Arabidopsis thaliana: one gene and its partners. The protein of the gene in region 2 interacts with the protein of the main gene of each other region in a pairwise test. Each region holds a gene or a part of one and is shown on either strand. Other genes may lie near its edges.

Region 1 (5,206 bases), 4.3 Mb from region 2:
GCATCGATTTCCCACTTTTCCCTTTTTTATTTTATTTTAAATAGATCATACTGCAGAAAGCGGAAGCTAAAAAAATAAATAAAAAACAAAAAAAAAATAAATGGAAATTAAGCTGACTCAATTATGGGTCAATTGCAAGAATATCGCTTTTTCAATAAAATAGTAAAAAATTAACCTCATATTACTAATTAACATCAGATTTGGGAAGTATAGTGGATCCTATCGGTAACATACAGCTGTTCAAATCTTAACTGTTAACGGTGATAAAAACTTTTTCGGAATACTGCAAAGTTGTAAAAAAATAGTTGTACGAGAAAGCTATATAGTAATAAAGCTGAGAGTAAAACTTTTTGTAACGCTTTAAAAAAGCTTTTGTAATTAACAGAAATAAAAGCGGTACAAATTGTAATACTTTGTTTTTGTTCACCAATCAAAGCCAATATACTTTGTTTTTGTTCACCAATCAAAGCTAGTATCCGTTTTGAGATCATTACTGAAATTATAAAAACTTTAATTTGTTTAATTTATTACAAATAGACAGTGAAAACCTTCATATGTAATAAACGATAAACCTTGGTTTACAATAATAAAAGAAAAAAGAAACTGGAAACTATAATGCTATTGCATGTAGTCTAGAATTTAACTTGTGTTCACAAACATTCTCTTTCAAAGAAGTTTAATTAATAACAGCTCAAGCTTAGAATTCCCATCACAAGATCAAAATCCATGTGTTCAACAATTTTTAACATTATAAGCTACATCCGAATTGTAATCCCTGAATAATCCAACTAATACAGATTATAAGTCATAAAGACACTTTTGTTGGACCAAAAAAAGTTGATTAATGTCATCAACAATCAATCGACCTTGCATTTATAAACGCATGCTGTTATGGCCAATACAGCTCCAATGATAAGTCCTAATATCGCCATTGCCAAGACTGTCGAACCCAATCAAACAACGTATATATCAGTACTCCGCAACATTCTTTCATCATGACCAACCACAGTGAGGAAGAATGACATACCAGCAATGGTGAAGTAGATGAGAACTGCCAATCGGTATCTGGTCGTTCCTGGTAATTCAATTTCGAGTGTGCAATATCGTTGAGACTTTCCCTTAGTTGTTGTATCTTTTAAAGAATTCGAGCCTCCTGGTTGGAGTTCAGATAATGAAACATTCGTGCCTAGTACAGTGTCTCCGTTAACATCTCTGATCTCGAGCTTTATGGTAACCGGATTTGCATTCCAATCTATCGATATTGCTCCAAAATTTTGTTGTCCTGCACGTAAGTTTAAGATATTGTAACCAATGTAATCATACAAAAGAGTACATCGCTGCTCTGTTAAATCAACTCACAACAGTTACAGTCTACTATATTCCGTCCTAGGTTAGTGACAGTAGAGCTATAGAGCTAAAGTTGGAACTTAAAGTAGACTCACTGTGTCTTGGCTTGTCAATAAATCTTTCCACAGTTTATCAGAAGAAAACGTAAAAGGAATCAAATTGAGAATAATACCGTATGTGCAAGATTTGAATTTGCAGTTATCATTGATAACTCTCATCGTGCTTGGAGTATACCAAAAAAGAAGCCTAACTATGGAACGCAAGGGACGAGGGACAACTTTCTCAACAGATTGTACTAGACCACTGGAGGTGACATCATATAATGGGTACCCAACAGAACAATCATATCTCGTGATTTCTCCAAAATGTACATCTCCACTGATGAATATAACTCCATCTCTCTGTAATGTCAAAGCAACGAAGAATTATGGGGACGAGGAAAGAAGAAAACTGACAGTTGGAAACATTACTGTCAACAATCCCATACCTTAGTATCTGCTATCAGTTTAAAAAGACGTTTCCTTTCCTTTGGAAAACGACCCCATGATTCCATATAAAAGAGAGGTCCAGTGGTAGCAGAAAGATTTGATATCACCTGGACAAGTTAAGAGACAACAGTTCTAGATGGAATAAGACACTCAGGCTTCATCAAGTTTAAGTCCATGGCCAAACTGGAACAGGACACAAAAGTCTAATTTGCAGATACCTGAACAGAGGATCCTATGATAGTGATTTCGCTTCGGGGACCGCTCAATTCATTTTCGAGCCAGTCCCACTGCGTATCACCCAATATGCTCCCGTCACTTCTTAAAGGGTCTCTATGATATCTAGTATCTAAAACTATAACCTGAAGGAGATACACAACTGTGTTAAATCACATATAAGCTCTTCATTCTAAACTTAACAAAACTACCAAAGAAGACAAGAGTTTCTGTTAATACCTTAACTTTCCGATTAGGCGGACCATAAGTATAAGAAGCATAAACACCAGCTTGCTTTCTCCTAGGACTATCAAGAGGCTCATTCAAGAAATCAAGCATAAGTTTTTGGTTAATGACTTTACGATCAAACTCTTTTCCAGCGTCATTCAATCCGTAATCATGATCATCCCATGTACCAATAACCTTAGCTTTTCTCTGAATACGAGAATATCCAGGATTAGCTTTGGCTTTAGCGTATCTTAGTTTCATTTCTTCCTCTGAAGAAGGTACAAACCTCGGTGAATTCCTCCATGGCCCAAAAGTTCTCTCTTTCCCAATGACTGTAAGTGGTCTTCTTATATCTCCGTAGATGTTATCACCCAACCAAATAAACAGTTGCGGATCAAACTTGTTTATCGCATCCCATATCGGCTAAAATGTAACAAAAATACAATGTTTAACATAGTATGCAACACAAGCTTATATCATCTAAGAGAACATCGGCTAATTAAACAAAAACCATAATCAGCTCACTTAAACACCAGCCAAACAGAGCAGTCTTAAAACACTGAATCCAGAGCCAAGTAGGGGTTGTACGATTGATTTACCTGTGGAGCACTTTGATTAGCGCATGATCCGAAGGCTATACGAGTGATAGGAGTCTCTTCTGCAGCAATCACCACCGTAAGGAGTAAAGAAAGGCACCAGAAAGAGATTTGGTTCATGACGATGTGGTGAATCGAAGAGAAAACCCTAGAAGCAACCGTGGAAAGAGGAATCTTCAAGTTTTCATTAAAAGATCCACAAGTTTTGGCTCGCCGCAGATTCGGTTCCGGCGATTTTCAGTTACCGTTGGGATTTTGATAGACAGAGACTGTAACTTTTTCTACTTTCTTCTCGTGGCTTTGATTTTTAATAGCTTTACTTTTTCTTTTCTTCAGATGAAATTTCTATTGCCTGGTTTTATGAATCTTTTTTCTGGGTTCCAAACAAAAAGTGAATTTGTGAAATATCCGTATTATTTATAATTATGGAATGACCATTGAATTTTTTTGTAGATTTGTTTAACATATGCAATGATTTTTTAAATATGAATATTAATTACTTGAGAAACAAATATCTACTACATATTAAAAATGAATTTGTATTTTCCCCTTTGAATAGAAATCAAATTCACTATATGTGGCAAATAGATTAATTCATTTTGATTTGTATTACATAATTTAAATTGTTTATCTACTACTATGTGATGATAAATCCATTTAATATGTGTTCTTCTATGAAAACTTTATCCGACCAAAAAAATAATTTTATGAAAATTTTATTCCAATTTTCTAGATTGTATAAAATTTCCCCGGAACCATGCAAATTCAGAATTTTTTACACTAGAGACTTCTACGGATGGCAAAATTGTGAAGTGTAATATTGTTTTAGACATTAAGAAACAAGTTTCGAAGCGGATCGTTTTAGTTAAAAGGTTTACAAACAATATTATCTCTTATTGAATAGAAAAAGTGAATTGGTGCAATAATTATGTATCTGTTTGTAACTGTAATTATAGAAACATCCAATAATGTGAATCAATATCATTGTTCTAGCATAATAAAACTGTAGATTTACAAACGTCAAACGATATGAAATGTTTTACCGACCTCTACCAAAAAATGAGTGATGTGAGAATATACGCGCGTTATCGGTTGTTTCTCACTCACCTAGTGACATTGGTCGAGCGGCAAATGGTGGTGATGACTGGCCTCTTTTACGACTCGCAGTTTTAGATTTTAGTCCCCTTAATTGGGTATTCTCAGTTATGGGGAGACATATAAACACATTTTGTATGTTTTGACAAATTCAGAATATCAAAACAAGACACGTTTATTATGAAGTGTGTTAAATAATACAAATAGATTAGATGAGACACAAATATACAAAGGAATAAGAATCTCTCACAAAAATAATAATTGAATGAATAAAATTTTGAGGAGGGAAGGAAGATGTCCCAATCCCATATATATCATCTCAACGCATCATCAAAACAAACTCGTCAAAGCTGAGAACTCCATCGTCATTCTGATCAAACCCACGAATCATAACCTTACAAGCATCAACCGTACACGACTCGCCGAGTCGACTCAACGTCCTCCGTAAACTCGCCGCCGTAATAAACTCTTCCCCCTCCATAACATACATCCCAAACGCTTCTTTCAACTCCTTCCTCCTTTCTTCATCACTACCATCTTCCCCTTCCATAAGCTTCAAAAACTCCTCAAAATCTATAAACCCGTCTCCGTCAACGTCTGATGTCTTCACCACTTCCTCCACCTCACGTGACGATAACGCGCCGCCTAAGAGACTAACGCAGCTTTGTAGCTCTTCACCGGAGATTTTCCCGTCTGAGTTTGCATCCATATAGTCAAAAACGGTTCTTAGCTCGTTAACGTTTAACGAGCTGCTTCCGCTACTATTACTGCTCGTTCTTGATTCGTCTTCAAGGTTTCTTGACGATTCTGATCTCTTCGAGGAAACTTTCTTGTATAGTCGTGACAATGATGATTTTTGGTTCTTAGCGAGAGTCATTTCTTGATTTGAATATGAATCTAGAAGATTTGGGAAATGGATTTCTGATGCAAATTCTTTTCAAGAAGTGGTAGATTATATATAGATGAGTATGTGAATGCGTGTAATGGTGGAGAGATTCTTGATTGTTCGACGGTTAAAACACGGGTTTGAATATTTTGGTGTTATTATTTAAAGCTAGAGGCGGTTGCGCGGCGGTGGCCGGGAAGTTTCCTCCGCAATGAGTGTTTGTGGGGAAAGGTCAAGTTGACCACGACTAGGGGTGTTTTCGTAATAATGTGATGGTAAGTTTTTCTCACGTATTGTGTGAAATGTGATGTCATATCGACGACTAGATTAAGAAAAGTAGCAAACCTTCTCTT
Region 2 (3,361 bases):
AGAATGAACAACAATGACCGGATCGAAACAGAGGAGAGTTCATCAACAGACATAAGAAGAAACATAGAGAAAAGGTCAGGAGACAGAGAGAACGAACAGCATAGAATTCAGAAGCTGAGTTCCTCATCGATTGGATCTAGCAAAGAATTTAAATTCGACAACACGAAAGACGAGAATATCGAGAAGGTTGCAGGAAACAGCTGGAGTTTCTTCCCGGGGTTACGATCTGGAGTCAGCTAACCAAATTAAAATGACATCTCTTCTTCTTCTTCCTCATTACCAAAGACAGAGATATAAAACCCTATAAGTAACAAACCTTGAACATGGATCGTGAAAAAAGGTAAGAGATTTGGGTTCTAACAACTTATACACACTGAATAAATAAGCTTAAAGCTTTGATTTGCAGTTAACTTCTGTACTCATGTAGTTGGAAACTTTGGAATATTCTTGGATCAGCTCCTACATCTAATCTTGTTACATTGATATAAATTGTTTATTTCTTGTTTTACTGTTTCATACAAATATATTGTTTGAACTGAGATCGTGAATGGTCTTATTCTATATCATTACTAAAACATTTTCATTTCTGTTCTTTCAGAAACATAGATTCGGTTATTATCGTAAGAAATCTAATACAACTGTGAACTACTACATAAACTGAATTGTTCAAAAGAAAACATCGAAATAATATACAGAACAAAAAGGGAAAACAACAAGAGCTGTGAACCACAAAGGAATTAAACCGGGTTTTGACTCTCCTTATTGGAACCGGAACTAAACCGGGATTTCAATCCTCCTTATCAGAACCGTAATACCTCTTAAACGCTCTGGGTAGATAAACCGGAATCAAAACACCAAAGAGATTAAACGACCAAATCCCTAAATTAGCCGCCGCCAAAACTTTCCCGGCATACATCCGCCGCGCAGAAACCGTCCCCGTCACATCCTCCCTCGAGAACTCACTCATAATCCACTCCACAAGAGTCAAAACCCTCCTGGCGTTGTAAACAATCGGAACAAGAATCCTCGCCGGAGCAGAGAAGCCAAACATGGTCGCTAATCCTTCCATAAAAATCTGACTCGCTAAAAGAAACACGTGCGGTGCAGCTGCGCTAACACCGTTCTTATCATCCTCAACGATTCCTTCGAAGATGTAACAGATCGGAATGATAAGCCCGACGATCCCCGCCGCTGTAACATAGATACGGAAGATTTTGTTTGTGGAGCTTGTGAGAGGAGCGTCACGGTTTGGATTGTTGTGTGGTGGGAAGATAAGTTTCGAGAGGAAGAAGAAGTAGATGAGAGTGAGGATCGTGAATATGAAATCTTGGATTGTTACGAGACCACTTGCGGAGAGAACGATGATTATTGCGAGGATGTTTAGTTGTCGGAATGAGAAGAATCCGGCGGGTTTTCCGGTGGATGATACTGTTGAGGTGGATTGGGTTTGATGTTCTTCTTCTTCTTCTTTGGGTAAGGTTATGTCGTTGTACGTTGGACCGACACCTCCAGACATCGTTTTGGTGTAAGTTTTTTTTTTTTGTTTTCTCGGGAAAATGTGGTGAGAAAGTTTTAGAGGTGGAGGAAGATAAAAAGAGTGTGAAGAAGGGGACACGTGGCGGATAGTGAAGAGTTTTGAATGGAAGAGGTTTAGAAGACGTGGCGGATTATTGTTGTGCTCACAATTAGTTTAGATTTTATTATTTTAACTACATGCAGGTAATTTCGTAAAAGTTCTTAAGAAACATATAAATATATGTGTTAATAGGAAGCCTAATTATTTTGGCTTTCTGGACGTAAGTGCACTAGGCTTTGTAGTTATAGATTTCAATTATAAGCTTCAATGATTACTAGTTATAAAAAATGATATAATTAGTTAGCAGGAAATGAATCCGGAACCATAAACTGTAGAATTGATTTAACTAAAAAGGAACTAATTACTAGAAATCGTATGAAACAAGGCATTGTAGATTACTAGACTTGTAGTAGAATATGGAATATTGTAGATATTCTACAAGAAGAGCTTAGATCATGGGTGAGAATACTTGGTTGTAGAAACAACTTTAAATTCGACCTCCAATGTCAAAGTGTCATTGTCCAAGTAATTACACTCCCGATGGCTATAGCCGCAAAATCTTCGCAACCCCACCCTTGAGTTGATTTCTTGTAACAGACGTTAACTGCAAGAAAAATAAATATATGTAAGGTATTGAAAATTTAGTTAAGACTTGAAAAAAGCAACTAAGTGATTTATTCAAGAATATAGAAAATTGTGTTTCAAAGTTAATTATACGTTTCTGTGTGACGTGATTGTTGTATACATGTGGACGTGGGTATAATACTCGGAGATCTGCATGCACGTAAATCTTCTCATCCTCCGAAAAGGTTTCACTATCAGCTATATATATGCAGAAATAAGGACAACCATTTGCCATCTGCCTCTCTTCCCTTTGGATACATCTTCAAACACCTATAGAAAAGTCACATTATTTTGTATACACTTAGCATACATAGACGTGTATATATATTCAATGACTTATTAGCCTCACCATTCTCTTCCTCCAACTGAAAAGTTGTTTGACACATAAAGATTCTCTGTCAATAAGGAGAAACCATTGGCACTCCAGGAGAATGTGGATGGTGAGAGTTTCTGATCAAAAGACATCACTTCCCAATTGGTAAGGGGTGGAACAACCATCACTTCAACACCAAACTCGCATTTTTGCCCGTCGAATATATATCCATTTTTTGGATTTTCGAATAAGTGGAGAGGAAGCATTTGAGAGAATCCCCATACCATTCTTAAAGCATTGAAACGCTTTACTTCAGTATCTATTAGAAAAAATGGAGTAATTCAACGTGACATATGTGACAAATGAACAAGTCTTATATAGTTAATATAAATATTGAATAATATAGATATGTTTTAAACCAACAACTTTGAATAGTAAAGTACATTTGTTCTTTCTTATTGTAGACGAAGAACTTGACATATGCAAAAACTTCAGATGTGCTGTCTATTTCTACGTACATTGAAATATAACCACTTCCATGGTCCTCGTCGTTCCCTTTTGGATATATAATCAATTTCCTGCAGGTTTTCTTTTTAACAGAAATATTATTGCATAAAGTAAGAAAGATTCATGTTCTTTTCTTATGATGAAGATTTAATTTAACCCTTCAGGAGCTAATGTGTACATAGTAAAATCATGGTCTATATGTGTTACATGTCTCATAAAACATAAATGGTAATATATAAGAGCAAGATTATAGCTACATACCAGTAATACCCGCCTACCGTGAAACGACGAGATTGGTATTTTTCATTGTTAAGTTGTGCGAGATTCTCAATCTTGACAGA
Region 3 (5,644 bases), on a different chromosome or scaffold from region 2:
ACTACAACAAGGATTAAAACCTTATTATGATATTTTGACATGTCGAAACATGTTGATTTAGTTAAAATTGTGTGGAAAAATTTTTGTTTATGATATATCGTGGGCTAATTAAATTTCGGTGTGTTGCAATGTATCATACTCATTTCAGCTTTCTTAGCTAAATATTACTTGTACTTCAATGACTAGTACAAAACACCCAAATACCATGACCTTGCTTGTTTTGATATTCTCTAATAAAACCCAACTTGGTTTAAACATCTCTAAAATCTGACTTAGTTCCAAGATTGACCAATCATCTACCTTCTTGAGATGCAGCCTCGTGATTATACTTCTTGACTCTTCATCTAGTTTCTTTAGATGTAGTCCCATGATCTTTCAATGACGTACGACTTCTCTCCACATATCATTTAGAATCTTCATTAGATACCTGGAGACTCCTCCTCTATGCAACATCGATTGAACTCCCTTGAAGTAAAGTCTCCTCCTTTATCGGTACAAAAGGTTTTAATAGACAAGCCGACTTGCTTCTCTAAAACTCTTGAAAAGCTTTTGAACCGATCAAAACTTGAATGAATATGTCAACAAGGAACCATCTTGTTCTTGTTGACTGATTCAAACTCCTCTTCACATCTTTCCTCCATTAAAGCACATCTTTAGCCTCTTGGCTCATTACTTGTTGAAAGTTGACGTCTCTTACTTTTAACATAAGCTTGGTGGAACAATCCATAAGTTGTTTCGGACTGCATAACATAGTCTTCAAGGTACCGCGACTGACTTATTTGTCGACCCGACCTTCTCAGTTGTGGTACTCCTTGAACTACTTCACCAACCTCATTATGGTATTTTTTAGTGATATCCTCCATGCCATCATCTTCTTCATGTACTTCTCCAACATCTTCTCTGTGAATCAACTCCAATATGATATAACCGAGCATGTCATGTCCTTGTAGCTTCAGTAGAAAGTCCATCGACAAGTGATGTTGGATAATTCCTAACTTGAAGAGCAAGATATCTCCTTTTAGTAGATGGTAGAAGAGATACAAGAAAATAAAATACAAATAACGTCAAGTTGGACATAATTTGTAACTCTTCCTTTTCAAATCATGACTAAACTCTAAATTTAGATGTAATTTAGCTTAGTGGTAGGTCAGAGCAAATGGATTTGGTTTATACGTTTGCAATTATGTAATTCCATGGATGTAGTTTGAAAGACCAAACTTCATTACAATTATGTGTATCAATTTATTTTGCTTACTCGTATCTATTTTATCACTAGAATACAAAGATTTTGCTAACTCCAAATCTATTATTTTCAGACAAGCATATCCTGTAAATCTTCAATCATCCAAAAAGTGATGTTGAGTTTAGATCCAACTCCAAAATGTATTTATCTTATTTTTAAGTAAAAAACTGAAGAAATGAGTTTGCGAATCTTTTAAATAGTTATTTTGTATAATGCATATTAGAGAAAGAACAAAGATAAATTTTTGTATCAAATATTTAAACTGAGTTAATGGTGGTTTATGAAGGGTGTTATAGTGCATTCACTCCCTTATATAATCGATATCTCTAATCCCTTGGTAAAATTAAATTGTTGTATTGAATTTTTTTATGAAAGAGTAAGGTGAGTTGCAAATTTTGCTTGGCCTCAAAAATTCTTCTCTCTATTTTTTCATTTACATGTTTGAAGTGTTACTTTTTACTTTGCTAAGATATTTCAGTGTTACTTTTTAATCTACATATTTCATTGTTATTTTTTAATTTACATATATCAATGTTATTTTTCCACTCAGATAAGGTGAAATATTTCAGCTAACTTAAAGTGATTATGATCATCAACACCTATTTCATGTCAATTTTTTGCTAAAAAATAAACAAATTGGTCATAATGTTCAAAAACTTGACCTCACCATCATAATACTTAGTACTTACTGGTCAAACAAACATATGTTCAGAACTTTTGTATTGATGGGGAAGGTTACTTTTGTCGTAATGTTACAAAAAAAAAATTGTTACTGTTGAGACCATTATAAATAATCATGTCATGTTCTTTAATTATCAACTTTGATTGTCATTTAATTGTAAATTTCGTTAGTTAATCTGTCCTCTTCTTGTAATTAAATAAAAATTTGTTTCAATACCAATAAAGTTGTCCTAAAAAAAACCACCCCTCTAAATAGGGAGTGAGTGAGAGAGAGAGTGATAGTGAGAACAAAAAAAAAACATCATTTCTTCTCGCACTCTTCACCTGCTCCAATGGACGAAAGACCCGAGACAGAGCTAATATCAATACCAGCCACACCACGAGTTTCAACACCGGAGATTCTAACTCCCTCCGGTCAAAGATCACCTCGTCCGGCCACCAAACCATCGTCGGCGACATGGACTCCGACTTCGTTCATATCACCGAGGTTCTTGAGTCCGATTGGTACACCAATGAAACGAGTTCTTGTGAACATGAAAGGGTATCTTGAAGAAGTTGGTCATCTCACTAAGCTAAACCCACAAGATGCTTGGCTTCCAATCACTGAATCTCGTAATGGAAACGCTCATTACGCTGCTTTTCACAATCTCAACGCTGGTGTTGGTTTTCAAGCCCTTGTTCTTCCCGTCGCGTTTGCGTTTCTTGGCTGGTGCGTTTGCGTTTTTCTTGATTTTTCCAATAATCTTTTTTCTTGTTTTTGAGTTTTTTCTTGAACTTTGTGTTTAGTGTTTCAAGATTATTTTTGTTTAGTGAACGGCGAGGGTTTATTCGACTCTCTGTGGTGCTCAGATCCAGTTTCAGGGTTCACTTTACTTGTTTGGGCAAAAATCAAAAATGTTTTTCTTGTCGGAAATAATAATAGGATATTGACTAATTTACTTTTTAACTTTGAAAACATTTCAATTTTAGCAGTAGATATTTTCTTTTTAATTTGTCATGCTTCCATCATTACACATGTGGATACTCACAGACATACTTTTTTGCTTTAATTTGGATTAAGACAGAGCCTTCTTTATCGTCTACTTTGTTTCTTGTTAATTTCCGGCAAAAAACACTTTTCTGAAAAGTATTTATTGTGTATATATAAGTAGGGCATGTAGTTGACGTCATAATAGATGACTATTTCTTCTTATAAACTTATATTTAGATAAATATTTTTTATTGCAAGTTCTAATATTTGAAACTATACATAACTTGTTAAGGTGGAGCATTTGGCTAGTTCAATACTTAAATAGCTTAGTGATGAATAATGATATTGCAATGATCATGTATTTGAGATTCTTATGTAAGAAAATGCACATATATTATTTCCAAACTTCAAGAAGTGAATTATTGTTGTTACAGGAGTTGGGGAATACTGTCTTTAACAATAGCATATTGCTGGCAACTCTACACACTGTGGATTCTGGTTCAGTTGCACGAAGCTGTCCCCGGGAAACGCTACAATCGATATGTCGAGCTTGCACAAGCTGCTTTTGGTAAAATGATAAATTTAGTTTTACATTAAGAATGATGAAATAATGCATCAATAGTGACAATTATTATTGATACTAATTTTGTGTCTTGCTAAGTTGCTATTACTAAATCTTGTACTCTTGATTGGAACAGGAGAAAGGTTAGGAGTATGGCTTGCATTGTTTCCTACGGTTTACTTATCAGCAGGAACCGCGACAGCGCTGATTCTGATCGGTGGAGAGACAATGAAACTCTTCTTCCAGATAGTTTGCGGTCCATTATGCACCTCGAATCCGTTAACAACAGTTGAATGGTATTTGGTGTTTACATCTCTCTGCATCGTTCTGTCTCAGCTACCAAACCTCAATTCTATTGCGGGACTCTCCTTAATAGGAGCAGTGACTGCAATAACTTACTCCACAATGGTTTGGGTTCTCTCTGTGAGCCAACCAAGACCAGCCACTATCTCATACGAGCCTCTTTCTATGCCTTCGACTTCTGGTTCACTCTTCGCTGTTTTGAATGCTCTTGGCATTATAGCTTTTGCCTTCAGAGGTCACAACTTGGTTTTGGAAATTCAGGTAAAATATGCAAAATATTTCTGTCTATAGATAATGCACATATTGGACTTATGATTTATTCTGAGTATTGAAAACTTTGTAGTCGACGATGCCATCAACGTTTAAGCATCCTGCTCACGTACCAATGTGGAGAGGAGCCAAAATCTCTTACTTCCTCATTGCTCTGTGTATCTTTCCAATCTCCATCGGAGGCTTTTGGGCTTATGGGAACCTTGTAAGTTCCATTTACTATATCTTTTGTTTATGTCTTGTCAGTGAAGGATGTTTATCTGGTGTTTGGTTCATGTTAGTGAAATATAGAATTCAAAAGGAACACTAATATCATTTATTTATAGTTCGTTTTCTGATCTTTGGTTCAATTTCCGGATTAGTTTGAAGTTATTTTTTCTTGGTCTTATAGATGCCTTCAGGAGGTATGCTTGCTGCTTTGTATGCATTCCACATTCACGATATCCCGAGAGGCTTATTAGCGACGGCATTTCTCCTAGTAGTCTTCAGCTGCTTGAGCAGTTTTCAGATATACTCCATGCCTGCCTTTGACAGCTTTGAAGCTGGCTACACAAGCAGAACCAACAAGCCGTGTTCGATTTGGGTCAGATCAGGTTTCCGAGTCTTTTTTGGTTTTGTCTCGTTTTTCATCGGTGTTGCTCTCCCTTTTCTGTCTAGTCTTGCGGGGTTGCTCGGTGGACTCACTCTCCCGGTCACATTTGCTTATCCTTGCTTCATGTGGGTCTTGATTAAGAAACCGGCGAAATACAGTTTCAATTGGTATTTCCATTGGGGATTAGGTTGGTTGGGAGTTGCATTCAGCTTGGCATTCTCCATAGGTGGGATCTGGAGTATGGTTACCAATGGACTTAAGCTCAAGTTCTTCAAGCCGCCTAACTAAGTAGTAATAGCCTATGTGGTTTTGTTTGGTTGGGAAGTTTGAAGTTTTAAGAGATTTTGTATTTCTGTGTTTTGTTTAAGAGTGCCTATGTTTTGAAGTTGGAACAATGTAATGTGTATTATAATTCAGTAAGCTTTTCAATATAAAGAATTTGGAATTTTGAAGAATCACACTTGTGTGCCTCTGTTGAATCCCTAGCTGGAATTTTCCCAACGTGGTTTTCTCTTTTCCATCTTTTTTTCAAATTATTTTGATACTACTAAAAATAACGATACATGAGTATTAAACTAAATTAAGCTAGATCAAGAATTCGGATTCAAAGTAATCGTTTTAGTGTATGAAAGATGATATTCTCGGATGATCTTTTGTTCTGCACAACTTTTTGGATCCTGCGGGAAGAGGGAAAGTATATAGAATTACATGATATCATATGTTGATATCAAGCGACTTGACATAAGAATTGGTGAAGCTCATGTTTGATGAAAATTGATGTACAAGTATACCCCTGTCGACGGACGACTGCACTACGATTTGTATAAGAGCAGATACGGGGCATGTTTTTAGAGTGTCTTTTTGTACATGAGAATTTAGATGTGTGCATGGTTTCATGTCTATTACGCATTTAATACCCTCAATGTACATCGAGTCGATTTCTCTGTCATGTTCTAGGTGAAGTGTCGGACCGCCAATGAGATTGTGGGATACGGGCTTTGCCCTCCATGCCCAATTCGGCCC
Region 4 (5,802 bases), on a different chromosome or scaffold from region 2:
TTGGTTATGTTTACTAGGAGAGATAGGTAAAATAAAATCTTGAATAAAGGTTTTGGTGTGATTTGTATTAAAATCTTGTGTTATTCAAACATGAATTTAAAAAGTTTGTAAAACTCAAGTGTTATTGGATTATTAATTTTAAAATGTAGAATCAAATCAACCAACATTGTTCACAAATGAGAACTTAGTTATAAATGAAAATTTTCTCTTTTAAATAGGATTTTTACAAATGGGTGGAAAAATATAATTTATAATCAAACATAAAAATGTAGATAACTCCACTTCAAGAGTGTTGATTTCATTACTAGCCCTAGGGATGGGCATACCGTTTTTCGGTTTGGTTTCACTTCGGTTTTTTGGTTTTACGGTTTTTAGTTTTATAAAAGCTATAATCATATAGAAACCGTAAATAATTTTTTTTTTTTTATGGTTTTACAGTTTTTTAAAAAAGAAATATGTGAGATGTCAAAAAAAAAAAAATTAAGAATACAAATGTCCAAATCATATGATTTAAGGGAAGATTTTTATAAATTTAATAACAAATTTTCTAATTCCCTAAAATTCAACAAAATCATCTTAAAACTCATTAAATCTCAAATCACTGGAAATTCCTCCTTCGATGCCACTACCTTTGTCCATATTCCAACTTCTCCAATTCATGTTCGAACAACAACGCTTTTTTCTTCACAATTAAGTATGTTGTTGAGCTTCTTCTCTTTTGTTGCTAAAAGTATGTTGTGTACAAATCCGATTAGTTTTTCATCGTCAATGTACATGTATTATAATATTTTCAACGAAGAATTTAATTATGTATAAAAAGTTGAAAACTATGGAGAAAAGAGTTCGAGACCAAATGGATAGTCAAAGAGCGTTTTGGGGAAAAATAACTTCTGGTCAGTGAGTCATCTACCAACAATTGTTGTGAAAGTAACATCGTTAACGGAGGCAACATCGTGACCGTCAAAGTTGAGTTCAATGTCACCAGAGTTCAAGAACGAGTGGAAGGTCGGCTGTCTCGGGGGTGGAAGTTGACTGGTTTGACTCTCCAACATCAACAAAACCGAACCCATGTTTGGTCTGTGAATGACCGAGTCTTGTGTACACAACATACCCACGTGGATGCATCTCATCGCTTCCGTCACGTCTCTAGTGTCCTTCACAATTGGATCTATCATCTCTTTTGTCTTTCCTTGGCTCCATAAATGCCACGCCTTATTTTTTTTTTTCCGTTTAGAACATTCATTAGTAACAAATATTCGAATATTTTAGTTAGACCTGAAAATTTATGGTTAAAGAAAAGAGACGTACATAACCAATGAGACTTCCATGATCAGTCCCTCGAAAGCTAACGTTTTTTCTTCCACTCACAATCTCCAATATCAACACTCCAAAGCTATACACATCTGATTTCTCTGAGAATATCCCTTCCATTGCATACTCCGGAGCCATATAACCACTACACTTGTTGAACATCAAAATCATTAAAAATTGATAGAGTTCGATATTGTTTAATTTAGAGGAGATAAAGAGGTTTGTTAAGTTACTATGTGCCGACGACTCGGATTGTGTTGGCATGGTCTTGTCGGTAGTTGAATATCCTAGCCATACCGAAATCCGAGATCTTTGGATTCATTTCCGTGTCTAGCAAGATATTGCTAGCTTTTAGGTCACGGTGAATGATCTTTAGTCTTGAGTCTCTATGTAAGTAAAGTAATCCCCTCGCGATTCCTCCAATGACCTCCCATCGTTTTCTCCAGTCCAAACTTCCTTGTTTACTCTCATCTGCGCAGAGTCATTATATACTCAATCCGAACATTTTCAAAACATTTTAATTGAAATTGTTTAGAAAAAAACATACCAAAAAGAAAGCGGTCCAAACTCTTGTTTGGCATATATTCATAGAGAAGCATCTTCTCATTGTCTTCAATGCAACATCCTAGTAATCTAACAAGATTCCGATGCTGGAGTTTCGCGATTAGTAAGATCTCGTTCTTGAACTCCTCTAGTCCTTGTTTAGATTTCCCTGATAGTCTCTTCACTGCAATCTCTCTTCCTTCTGAAAAGTTTCCCTGTCCAAACATAACACATAAGTTTTTGCATACAAAGCAAAGTTTTATTATCCAGTATTATTGTCAGAAAAAAAAAATCATTTTCTACCTTATATACAGTACCGAATCCGCCCTGTCCAAGCTTGTTCTCTTCAGCGAAATCTCCAGTAGCTGAGGCTACGCTGTCAAAACTGAATATTGGTAAATCGGGTGTGTCAACTTGATCCCCTACTAGAACTTTGATCGGCGAGCTTGAGTAATCTCTGTTCTCTATGATATCAGAAACTGTGATATCTTTCTTCTTCCACAAGAAAGCTGCAGATCATGGAGTAATTGACAGTCTCAGTAGTTTAATTCTTGTGAAACAAGACTATGTACGAATAGAGACTTTACCTTTAAGGCTTTTCTTAAACTTCCATAAGATCCAAATGCATAATCCTAGTAAGAATGCTCCTATAACACTGAAAACAATTATCCAAAGTGTTGAATTTTCCTTCCCACCACCTGTATACACAACAAAAGAAACAGATTAGTCATGTTTAAATCTTTCACAATGTTATATGATAGCTTAAACATTTTTCCAAACCTAGTTTAGAACCCGCTAGCCGGATGTTGATAGAGTTTCCACCGCGTTCAAAATGTTCCATATCGATCAAATCACGGGTCCAAATCATGCATCCGATCCCTACTACTAACGCATAAGCCTTACAAGAACAGTCCCTTGCGCATACATCTTTACAGGTCTCTGAGTTGTTATGTAAAACAACTGATCCAAAATCAGGCACCTTTATTCCCTTAAGTACCGTAAACCCATCCTCTTGACCTGCAACCAGACTCTGATTACAGTTCAAAGGAACTCTTCTTTGGCAGCCACCTGAGAAGTCCCTGTTGTTCCATTGATCCTGATGAACCGGCTCAAATCCATCAATGCAACTGCATTTACCGGAATCAAACTCCTTACTATCATCACATACACTGTAATTACCACAACGGTTATACTTCTCACATTCCGTGCTTGGTTTCCATTGAAGCAAATTCCAGTTCCTGATATCCTTATTCCATCTGAACTGCTCTTCTACGCCATCAGGCCTAATCCAAAACCTCAAGAAATCGGAACTATCTGAGGCAACATACGTGAAGTACACGCTACCATCTCTATCAGGAGGAGAAGAGAGCTTAAACCCGTAAATATAATTTGTGAAACGGAGCATATCAGGTATACCGGTAAAGATAGCCGAATTCCACGGTCCGCTACGCCATTTTCTCTTTTCCCCTTCCCAAATCACAATCTCTAGTGCTCCCACAGGATCAATCCCCATTGAATACTTTCCTGGTGAAGGATCACTCTCGGATTTCCACGGGATAAATGCGCGATTTTCTCCAAGCGAAGGATTCACCCGAACCCTCATACCGGGCAAGAAAGTGTCGGTTGGATTGTTAAAACTCTCCCAATACCATTTTCTTCTGTCTGAGTCTGAACACAGAACCAAATCCCCTGTTTTGAACAGAACAGCAACCGTGTTGTTTGACTCGGGCTCGACATTTGTGGACCAAATGGTTTCGTTTTGACCGTTCACGATCACCAAATTTCCGTCATCTGCAATCTTTAGAGCTCCCTTGTGATCCAACAACGGCTTCTCTCTATTCGCAACCCAAACAACTGTTTGAGGTTCTATGTTCTTGTACCATATTCCAACATACCTTAACGTCGAATTTTTGGGGGTGAAGAATCCAAGCTCGAAGCTTTCATCCTCGCTGATCAGTGAGTCTCCCTCTCGTATTGTGTGGTTTCTAGTGAATGAGTTGCTTGTGGAGCAAGATACGTTGCTACATAGTTGATGGAATATCAAAAGAGTCGTCACCAAAGTAAGGTTTCTGTTAAATCCTGCCATATTTGAGATGATTTGAGCTTCAGAGATCTGTATATAACAAGAAGGAAAAGAAAGAAAAGAACAAAAATAGTGGCTATCGAAGTTTCATGTAGACTAGTTTGGTCTTTCTCAATTTAACGAGAAAAGTCGTCTTTAAAATTGAGGAAAATAGTGGAAATCATCTCCAAAAACAAATACCAACGAATGAAAAGGACAACCGACGAATTCGTGTTGACAAGAATATGAACTTTCACGTTTTATTTAAGACTTTTGATTTTATAGTGCAAAATTGTGACTTTTAAGGCAAGAAAAGGATATATCAATTGATTTTTATCTCTTATTGAGAATACGACCTTCTTCATTTGGGTGGTTGAAAACATCCAAAATAAATAAATATTCTAAATACATAAAAATACTAATGTAGAATGGTAATCAATATAGATTGGGGCACAACAGTACAATTTTATTTTTATGAGTTCAAAAATTTATTGGTGAAGAAAAACTGTAAATTCTATTGTTGAGTGGCGTTTTCACCTTACAAAACGCAATTATGGAAATATGCATAATTCAAATTTTGTGATGAATATAATCTAGCTGCATTACGAAGCACAAGTTCCTCTTGCGCAGATTCACTCATTGACATGCGTGTGAGGAAGCAAATAAACTACATTTTCCGACAGTGAGTGACATGATACTGGCGAAGGCATGACTTTTGGAGAATTATATTGCCCCACCACTTATTACTCGTGTAAGTCCTCGTCTTATAGCCTAGTTTGGTACAAACCCATTTTAAACATGGCTTTATCATATGCTTAGATTTTTATTTTTATTTTTATTTTGGTTTATAGATAAGAAATTTTCAGCAAATTTGTTATTAAAAAAAAAAATATATATATATATATATAGCAAAACCTTAAATAAATGGTGTGTGTGTGTGTTTTGCATTTGATTTGAAGAAATAATGTGATTTCATATCAAACAGTGTGATATCGGTTAAAATAACATGACAGTTGTTATTTAAAAAACACTAATAAATTTCACGTTATTGATAAATAAAAAAAGTATGTAAAAATGAATCAACTTTTACAATATTTCTCATCCATCATTTTTGCAACTGGTAAAATTTGGAGATCTTGGCCCTGAATGGATGCTGATTTTCGATTCAGTTTTTGGATTTAGATTTTAGTTTCTAGATTTTAGATTTTAGTTTTAGATTTTTGTTATTATATATTTGTTTTAAAAATCCCAAAAATTGGTTTTTAGTTTTTGAGATAAATAACGTTGATGAAGTAAAAACTAAATTTCCTAAATTTTAGGAAAACTAAAAAACTAAAATCATAAATGGAAAATTACAACAAAATAGTTTTTCTAAATTGTAGGGAAACCAAAATTTTAAAATCTTGATTGGTATGAAAATAAGTTTTTGAAAAACAAAATCCAAAAACTCTTACAAAATCTACGAAACATTCAAAGCCCTTGTAAATTTTACACATTTATAACCAAAACTTTAAACACTAGTCCTGCAGGTTTGAAATACGCTCTACCCAAAAACCAAAGGGTGAAATACATAGATAACGCTATAAACCTTTGTACATTGTCATGCTTTTCATTTTTGAATCAATAATTCTCAACGAAAGAAAAACAAAGAAATCAAGATTGTCAAATGCTTCAAATGAACACAATTCTTTCTAATGGTTTGTGGATTCTTCAGTCGTACCAAACCCGTATTAGAGTCATTTCCTATGTTTGGTAAGAAACTACAAACACGGAAACACCAATCATTCAGTATTGTTTTGGTCTCCGTCGACCAAAAGAGAGAAACATGAGTTTTAAATATGAAACTAAAACGCCAATATTGAAGGAACACAATGACATTCACAGAT

The links.
Region 1: the proteins of AT5G52420 (region 2) and AT5G42370 interact in a protein complementation assay, tested with the Arabidopsis thaliana proteins (one large-scale study listed by BioGRID).
Region 3: the proteins of AT5G52420 (region 2) and AT1G47670 interact in a protein complementation assay, tested with the Arabidopsis thaliana proteins (one large-scale study listed by BioGRID).
Region 4: the proteins of AT5G52420 (region 2) and AT1G61610 interact in a protein complementation assay, tested with the Arabidopsis thaliana proteins (one large-scale study listed by BioGRID).

What each region holds. Positions count from the first base shown.
Region 1 is NC_003076.8:16,938,472-16,943,677, forward strand, and holds AT5G42370 (Calcineurin-like metallo-phosphoesterase superfamily protein), read right to left. Parts: upstream 3,264-5,206; 5' UTR 2,993-3,263; coding exon 2,876-2,992; intron 2,700-2,875; coding exon 2,289-2,699; intron 2,195-2,288; coding exon 2,054-2,194; intron 1,943-2,053; coding exon 1,835-1,942; intron 1,749-1,834; coding exon 1,443-1,748; intron 1,283-1,442; coding exon of another isoform or gene 1,224-1,282; coding exon 1,028-1,223; intron 941-1,027; coding exon 858-940; 3' UTR 510-857; downstream 1-509. Other genes in the region: CML37 (calmodulin like 37), read right to left, coding at 4,287-4,844.
Region 2 is NC_003076.8:21,279,972-21,283,332, reverse strand, and holds AT5G52420 (uncharacterized protein), read right to left. Parts: upstream 1,561-3,361; 5' UTR 1,517-1,560; coding exon 788-1,516; 3' UTR 527-787; downstream 1-526. Other genes in the region: AT5G52430 (hydroxyproline-rich glycoprotein family protein), read left to right, coding at 1-240.
Region 3 is NC_003070.9:17,536,099-17,541,742, reverse strand, and holds AT1G47670 (Transmembrane amino acid transporter family protein), read left to right. Parts: upstream 1-2,023; 5' UTR 2,024-2,256; coding exon 2,257-2,633; intron 2,634-3,328; coding exon 3,329-3,462; intron 3,463-3,592; coding exon 3,593-4,020; intron 4,021-4,102; coding exon 4,103-4,234; intron 4,235-4,420; coding exon 4,421-4,909; 3' UTR 4,910-5,118; downstream 5,119-5,644. Other genes in the region: AT1G47680 (uncharacterized protein), read right to left, coding at 654-968. UniProt on the Arabidopsis thaliana protein: Amino acid transporter.
Region 4 is NC_003070.9:22,731,610-22,737,411, reverse strand, and holds AT1G61610 (S-locus lectin protein kinase family protein), read right to left. Parts: upstream 4,054-5,802; 5' UTR 3,941-4,053; coding exon 2,635-3,940; intron 2,553-2,634; coding exon 2,442-2,552; intron 2,364-2,441; coding exon 2,158-2,363; intron 2,070-2,157; coding exon 1,859-2,069; intron 1,783-1,858; coding exon 1,545-1,782; intron 1,457-1,544; coding exon 1,309-1,456; coding exon of another isoform or gene 1,270-1,308; exon of another isoform or gene 1,212-1,269; coding exon 903-1,211; 3' UTR 554-902; downstream 1-553.